Drosophila melanogaster: one gene and its partner. Changing the gene in region 2 together with the main gene of any one other region gives a genetic interaction. Each region holds a gene or a part of one and is shown on either strand. Other genes may lie near its edges.

What was found. Genes that interact genetically often act in the same process or in processes that back each other up.
Region 1: of Su(fu) (region 2) and Gmap, changing one enhances a phenotype caused by changing the other (phenotypic enhancement), as found in Drosophila melanogaster (one study listed by BioGRID).

What each region holds. Positions count from the first base shown.
Region 1 is NC_004354.4:15,485,267-15,489,962, reverse strand, and holds the start of Gmap (golgi microtubule-associated protein), read right to left. Parts: upstream 3,042-4,696; 5' UTR 2,722-3,041; coding exon 2,488-2,721; intron 2,423-2,487; coding exon 2,330-2,422; intron 83-2,329; exon of another isoform or gene 1-82. Other genes in the region: CG6340 (uncharacterized protein), read right to left, coding at 3,522-4,631, 4,695-4,696.
Region 2 is NT_033777.3:12,689,335-12,693,154, reverse strand, and holds Su(fu) (suppressor of fused), read left to right. Parts: upstream 1-1,686; 5' UTR 1,687-1,716; coding exon 1,717-3,123; 3' UTR 3,124-3,282; downstream 3,283-3,820. Other genes in the region: CG31347 (uncharacterized protein), read left to right, coding at 605-1,036; Arp1 (Actin-related protein 1), read right to left, coding at 1-151, 211-385, 448-512, 1,286-1,333.

The DNA.
Region 1 (4,696 bases), on a different chromosome or scaffold from region 2:
CACCGAATGAGAAAGAAACTGAGTAGAAATTAACACTTTATGCGGGCCTACGTGAATCGATCACACGGAACCGAATGAATGCCAGCCAGCAGGTGAACCGGGCTTTTATAGGCCCCCGGATCCAGGCAATCCAGCCAACCAACCCCCTCGATCCTGGCCAGCTTGGCCCGGATAAGATAACCCGAGCATGGTGCCATGCAGATGTCCCAAATGCCCGCCTAATGGGGATGATAATGGTTGGCAGGAGCAGATTGCCATATTCACGAAGGAGGAGTAGGAGTTGGTAGTGGCAGTGGAGGTGGGCCATGAGGGATGTGAATGAAAATGGGAATGGGAATGGGAATGGGGATGGAGATGGGGACGAGGGCACACTTATCGCCGGTCGCCTGGCGCAATTATGCAAAACAATATGGTGACCCAACTATCGATCCAAAAGATATGGCTATCTTTAGATAGTACATGCGAGATAGCCCAGAAGGAAAAATCTGGGAAAACATATATCCACATATATAGAAATCAAATGATGAAATGATGAAAGTTTGAGCCGATTAAGTCATATCTTACTCAAGAAGATCAAGATTTGAATTAGCTGACTAGAGCAACCATTCATCTATCGACATTAAATTAAAAGAATAGATCAAAATCGCTTACATGAAAGAATTATATATATGTATCAGATATCCGTATCGATTTTCCAACTGCTTACTGTTCAGATTTCGCCAGCTCCGATAAGGAATGAGTATTTATGGTTTATCTCTGAATATTCGTACTAAATGATGCAATTTTCCCTCATAATTTATGCTTCGCATGTTTGATAGGAACTCATTTTTACACAATCGATTAGCTAATCAGAAACAAATATAAAACATGAGTAATGATGGCCGAAACTAGAAAGATCAATTTGCCAATTTAAGCTGCAACCAAAACCGGATTTAGAGCAAATAAAAATCTGGCAAATCATAATGGCACGTTAAATTAACATAAATATATATCATATTGTATTTGATTATAAATTGATTAAAATATTTTGATGTTTTTTAAACAATCAATTTTAAAAGCATTTTTAATGAACAAAAAACTACAAAACTTTATATTATATTAAAAGAACCGTAAATTTCAAAAAGCAGGCAGTTTGAAAGTATACTCGTAATCCATATTGTAAAGTCTTTGGGATTTCTAATTTTTTACCTACTGGCAATGCGATCGATTTGAACTTTAGATCATAATACAATGGTTCATTATTTTAAGAATTAAATAAAGTATCTACGATTCTAATAAAATTGCCAAAGAGTAATTCAATCATTTCGAAAAAAATATAACATCTAACGCTATGGTTATATATGCATGTCATTTAGTATTTTAAAACTAGATCTACAATGTGAAAAGCCATATTTTTTATATTTAAGGTGACTATGGAAAATCTGGTACAGTTGTGCTTCAGAAAGATCTCCATCGCCCCAGTGACCAAACCAAATGGCTCCAAATGCAACCCCGTCACCCTGCATTTTCAACGGGAATATCAGACACTTGGGGTTGCGCTGCAGTAACTTGCCTAATCAGAAATAATTCGGTAAATTGAACAAGCAGTTGGCGAACGGAGGGCTATGGAGCGATAGGGTTAGCAGCACGCCTAGATAAGGCTAACAGGCATATGGGGTGATCGAAAAGGAGACCAGGGATTTATGACAGCCAGGCAAATAGCAGACACCAAACACCACCGAATGTGAAATCAAATAGAAGTTGCACGGGGAAAAAGGTGAATGGATGTCAAATGAAAAATCAGTTTAAATTCAAATTCAAATTTATCCAGGAGAAAGTTAATATAAAACCGTTTTTAGCATTAGATTGCTAATCCGAAAGCTCAAGACGCTCTAATGAAATATGGCTTACCCTGCCATACTATTAGTACATTCTTTGCAATCGAGAACTTGGCTTATTTTAAACCCCCCTTTAATTGTTGGCAAAACAGAAATCGGTGAATTCTAGCGCTTTGTAATCGTGCCACGGAAAACAACAATATGCCACTGCAACCATTTTTCTCTCCGTGTGAAGCATACAATGTGGCATCAGGTAAACGCGAGAAGTGCAGATAAAACTAGGGTAGTGCCGACTCCTAGCTTATCGCAGTTTAAATATTAATTCAGGGATATGTGGCCAAAAGCGAAACAGAGAGCGCGAGAGCTGGGCTTATCGCTTATTTGAAAGATAAAGCCGGTCAAACACCACTCCACGCCGGAGTGCAATGTTTCCTGGAAGACGGAGTGGGCACCGGATGTGGCATGGCCACATGGGGGCCAGCTGCAGGTCCCTCGGATCAAACGTCACTTACCAACTGCGGTTCCCGCGTAGCTGATGTGCTGGCTGCCAGCTGGGATTCCTGTTTCTGCTTGCTTTTGGCCAGTTCTCGGCGCAGGGCGGCTATCTGAAAGGGGCAATCGGATGGCCATTGGTGAAGAAGCCGCAAAAGTGACTGTGAGTTGGCTTTACCTCACGATCCTTCTCCTCGCACCGCTTGTCCAGCTGCTCCTTCTGCTCCTGGGTTTCGGCCAGCAGTTCCAGGGCTGTCTTGGCCTGCTGCTCGGCGTCTTGGACGCTAGCACCTCCTGCTTGATGTCCCTCATACTCCAAGTCGCCGGGTCCTGCCGTTTCGGCCAGAACTTCCTGCGCCAGATTGGTTAGTTGGCCCTTCAGCTGGCTGAGACTGCTGTTCAGCCACGACATCTTCGCTGCTCTCTTCTGGGCAGCGTGGGCGGATAGGGGGCGTGGCTCTTCTCGACGAGATCACTCCGCTTTTGGCTAGCTGATTGCTAATTTCGGATGAAGTATGCTTAGTTTTTTGGAAACGATAATTTTTTTTGCGTGGCAGTGGCACAAACTCAAGCGGTTCTGTTTGCTTCGTTCCACAATTTAAATCCAATTTGGCTGTTTGTTTTAATAAAGGATGTGTAAGCTTTATATGCTTTTGTTTGTGTTCTAGTAGTATTAATTCTCTTATTTATTATTATTTTTATTATTAGTTTGTGATATGGTATCGATATCCGACGTCCTATCGTCAGCTGATTTTGTTATTGTTATTGTTTTTGGTCAGCTATCGATTGGCGATAGGCAGACCGACCGCCAAGGTGCATGGCAAAAAACTGACATCTACTAAACAGAGTGCCAAAATTTAAAATTGTTTATTGTAAAAAAAAATACCTTTATTTATTATTGAATATTCAAGCATTCTTCGATTAGAGCCGCTGAACTTTGTAGTTAAAGTTGGATACTCTTAGCATACTTAGTAATAGTGTAGACTAAAAGTCTACCTAACGACGCATTTATCCCAAGCAAATCCAAAGAGAGAGCCACGTCACTTCATAAATTCTGTTGCAACGTTTATTTGAAATCAAAAAAACAAAAAATTTTCTCAACACAAACAAAAAGTTGTTGAGGAGAAACATATTGACTGACTAATGAGTTGAGTGAGTGGCATGGTATTTACAGCCTGGCAGGGAGCCGATCCTCCTCCGTTCCGATCCCTTCTAGAAAGTACGTGGCTGGGAGCCGAAACCAAGCCCCACGCCACGCATCGTGTGTGTGGCGGCTCGCGCCATCTCGTACTGCTGCTCCATGTTGGAGAACATGCGCTGGCGCTGCTGCACGTCCGTGGGCACTTTCGTTCCGCCAGCGGCTCCCGATGGCGCAGCACCTCTTACTGCGCGGTTTCCCTCGCCTGCTGCACTTCCATTGGTGGACTCCGCCTGGCCGCCCTTGCCATCGTCATTGCCGGACGTACCAGCGTTCTTGATACCCATGAGCCGCATAAACTTGGAGGCCACCTTGCCGTCGGAGTCCTGGGAGAAGTGCGCGTTGCCCCACTTGTTCGCCGAGTTCTCGCTCTTCTTGGAGCCCCACAGTAGCTTGCGCTTCTGCTGCTGCTCCGCATAGCGATTGGCATTGATGATGCTCGGATTGTAGTAACTGGGCAGCTGGATGGGTTCTGCGACTGGTGCTGCTGCCGCTGGTGTGCTCAGCTCCAAGGACATCAGCGAGGGTATCTTGGGCGCATAGTTGGGCGTGGGCAGGAGACCGCCGCCACCGCCGCCGGATGAACCGGCTGCCATGGCTGCGGCTGTTGCATTGGCAGCTACCAGAGCGGCCGCTGCAACCCTCGCCGCTGCTGTTGCATTAGTTGCCGTTGATCCTGCTCCGCCGCCTGATTTAGCGAGCAGCATATGAGATCCGGCCACAGCTCCACCGCGAAGTGTTGTGGCTTGTTCTTCCTTCGGAGATCTGGAGCGGCTGCTGGAGTCGCGTTCGCGATATTTGCGTGACTGTTGCGACTGATGGCGGCGACGAGAGGGCGGCGTGCCCGTTGGTGTGCGGGAACCGGATCGAGAGTCCCGGCGACGACGACTGCGTTCATCATGGGATCGACGGACTGATGCTGCACTGACCGCTGCAGCGGCGGCTGACGATGAGTTGTTGTGATGATGATGATGGCGTTCCTTGCCACTGTGGTGGCGACTGCTCTTCTCCGAACGCCTACGGTCCCGATCCTTGTCGCGATCTCGCTCCCTCTCCCGGTCACGATCCCGCTCCCGCTCTCTGTGGCTGTCGCCGTCTTTGGTACGATGGTGGCGATGGTCGCCCTGTAAATAGCACAGACATTAGTTTGGCTGAGTTATGCTGAGTTGATTAGGACTCTGTCTCACCT
Region 2 (3,820 bases):
GACTGAGCACCGCCTGCATGGACACAAAGAGCGCAGGTGCATTGATGCCTTCAAAGAAGAACTCGGCTGCCTTTTCGCGGTTTCGGCGCGGATTAAGCGGGGCCTCGGTCAGCAGCACGGGATGATCCTCCGTGAAGGTGGCCAGTTGTTCCTGGTCAATGCCATTTAAAACATTTAGTTAAGATTATGGAACATTTATGGACAAATTACTTTGCTGTAAATGTAGCTCCATATCCGCTCCATGTCATTCCAGTCGGTGACAATGCCGTGCTCCATGGGGTACCGGATGCTAAGCAGGCCACGGTGCTCCTCCGCCTTGGGTCCAACGAATATGTCGCCCTCCAGCGCACCAGCCATCACTCGGACATGCTTGGGCCGGCCAATGCTGCAGGAGAAGGCATTAGTTCTAGGGGTTCTTAAGGTTCGTGAGTGGTCCACGGCACTTACTAATTGGGAAACCTGCATTTTGGAATGTGCTCACCAGCAAAGCCGGCTTTGATCACACCGGAGCCCTGTCAAAAGTGATGTGGAATACATTTAGTTAGTTGCGTCAGCTTATTTTATTTAAAATTCAACGTGCAAACAGGAAATCTATATAGTCAACATGGAATCCTTTAGTGTGCCGGAAGTGGACATGATGACCGTGTCAAAGAATTCGCAATACGAACGGGAATCGCTACTAAAGTTCGCACCGCCAGTTGGACTGACCAACATCAGCTACGGCAGCTTGTACAAGGTGGACTCCTTCTATTTGGAGTGCCAGAAGTACCGAGATCAATTCCGCGATCCCTACAACAAGCTGCTGCGCCCCAAGATGTTCAGCACATACAGGGGCAAGTGTGGTGTGAAGATAGATCCCGAACTGGAGCGCTTAAAGCGACCCGCTGCCTCCCATGTGGAGTCTATTCCCGTGGTTTACCCAATGGAGTACGGGCACCAAATGGACTTCGACAGAGGCTTCCAGATGCAGGGACGCAACAGCAGGGATGCAGCCACCGCCCGCAGATATCCGTGTGTGCGTGTGCTGGGCAGATAAAGGGATTCCACGCAAGCTTTATAGACCAAATTCCCCGTTTTCGCTGTCTTCACTTCCGAATTGAACCATCTCTGGCGTTTGCGGAGCTATTCTCTCTGGGATTAGTCATGTTGGCCATTTGAAGACGGCTTGAAAGCTCGTTGACAAAGGGACGGGCGGTAGGTGATGTCACTGTTTGCTGGCTAAAACTTTGGGAACCCTAGATTTGCACAAAGCTACCCGCATTTAATGAGCCCCATCTCCACTTACGTTATCTATGACGACGGGCTGGTTGACGACGACATCATAAGGCTCCATTTTGTGCGTTTATCAAAATTTGCAAATTTTCTATTAAATAGTTGGTCAACAGGGTGACCGTAGGTGGTTGGCAGAAATAAACAGCATGTAAAAATATACCACGGCAAGAAATACTCAATATTTTACATGGTGGTGGTTTAAAGCTATATGGATATATATTTTCACTGTTTTTCTCTACATTTTAAAAATAAGCAGAAAAAAGTAAGAAAGTAATAATTATTATAAAAAAGGTTTTAAAAATAAATAATGGTTTTAAAAGAAACTCATGTAAGTTTCCATTGTCAAATCCGCACTTTACATGGCAGTATTTTTATTCATGGTATATTCAAGCGGTGGTATTCCGCAACGTTCCAACTGAGGTCATACTGATCAAACTGGATGAAATGGCCGAGGCGAATTTGGACAAAAAACCTGAGGTGAAGCCTCCGCCGGGCCTTAAGGCCATCATAGACCACCTCGGGCAGGTGTACCCCAACCAGCCGAACCCGCTGCAGGTGACCACACTGCTCAAGTACTGGCTGGGCGGTCAGGATCCGTTGGACTACATTAGCATGTACAACTATCCCGGAGATGTGGATAGGAACGTTCCGCCGCACTGGCACTACATTAGTTTCGGACTCAGCGACCTACACGGGGACGAGCGAGTCCACTTGCGCGAGGAGGGCGTCACTCGGTCTGGCATGGGGTTCGAGTTGACCTTTCGCTTGGCCAAAACAGAAATAGAGCTAAAGCAGCAGATTGAGAACCCGGAAAAGCCCCAAAGACCGCCCACCTGGCCGGCGAACCTGTTGCAGGCCATCGGACGCTATTGTTTTCAAACAGGCAACGGGTTGTGCTTCGGAGACAACATCCCGTGGCGCAAGAGTCTGGATGGCAGTACCACTTCCAAGCTACAGAACCTGCTCGTCGCCCAGGACCCGCAGTTGGGCTGCATCGACACTCCCACGGGCACGGTGGACTTCTGCCAGATCGTCGGCGTCTTTGACGACGAACTTGAGCAGGCATCGCGTTGGAACGGGCGCGGTGTGCTCAACTTCCTTCGCCAAGATATGCAAACTGGCGGTGATTGGCTGGTGACTAACATGGATCGCCAGATGAGCGTCTTCGAACTGTTTCCCGAAACGCTGCTAAACCTACAGGACGATCTGGAGAAGCAGGGTTCCGATCTGGCCGGCGTTAATGCAGATTTTACGTTCCGTGAGCTGAAACCTACCAAGGAGGTGAAGGAGGAGGTGGATTTCCAGGCGCTGAGCGAGAAGTGCGCCAACGACGAAAACAATCGGCAGCTGACGGATACGCAAATGAAACGCGAGGAACCAAGCTTTCCACAATCCATGTCGATGAGCAGCAATTCGCTGCACAAGTCCTGTCCCCTGGACTTTCAAGCGCAGGCACCAAACTGCATTTCACTGGACGGTATTGAGATTACCCTCGCACCTGGTGTGGCCAAGTACCTCCTACTGGCCATCAAGGATCGCATCCGACATGGGCGCCACTTCACCTTCAAGGCTCAGCATCTGGCGCTCACTTTGGTGGCGGAATCCGTCACCGGCTCGGCGGTGACAGTGAACGAACCGTACGGCGTGCTGGGCTACTGGATTCAGGTCCTGATTCCCGATGAACTGGTGCCGCGCCTGATGGAAGACTTCCGCAGCGCGGGCCTAGACGAGAAATGCGAGCCCAAGGAGCGACTGGAGCTCGAGTGGCCCGACAAGAATCTGAAGCTGATCATCGACCAGCCGGAACCTGTGCTGCCCATGTCGCTCGACGCTGCTCCTCTGAAAATGTGATGGTGTCCATTGGTTAGCTAGTAGTTATTTAAATTAATCGAATTGAATCTTCCACTAACGAGTAAGTTTTACATTTATACATCTCATCTAACACAATGCACGTGGCCTTTGCTCCTCGCCGGAGTCCAGTCAAAATATACAAACACATACATATACCCGAAACCACTCGACGGGCCTTTGATCGCAATATGAAAAGAGGAAGCGCCGGCGCCAGGAGCGGCGAACAATTCGCCGGATGAGTCAAGTTGGGGTCAGGCTATTGAGCACTGGAACAGTTCGCTTTGGTGGCTGCGGCGGATATGGCCACTTGCAGGCGGTGGAAGTCATCGCCACCGACTAACCACCAATTGATGGTATTGCGCAGTGGACCGCCGAATGCTTCAGTTTCTAATTCTGGGAATTGATCAATTAGAAGAGCATTCAATTTGAACACAAAATCCCGCCCGGGATCATGTGATTGCGCGAGGAACTGGACCTGGAGCAGCTGCATCATCAGCCTGGCTGATGGGAAACCCTTGACGCATCGCTTGTCTGAGCGTTGCCTAGGTGAATTTTTGTTTACCGCAGAGAACAGTTGCTCTGCTTCTCCGATTAGGCGCCCCTCATCAAGTGAGCGAGCGATTTTTCGCAAAAACAGCTCGTGGAAAATAATTCAGTTTTCTTCATTCCGCCGCCGACGACGCAAGCGTTCGGTTGT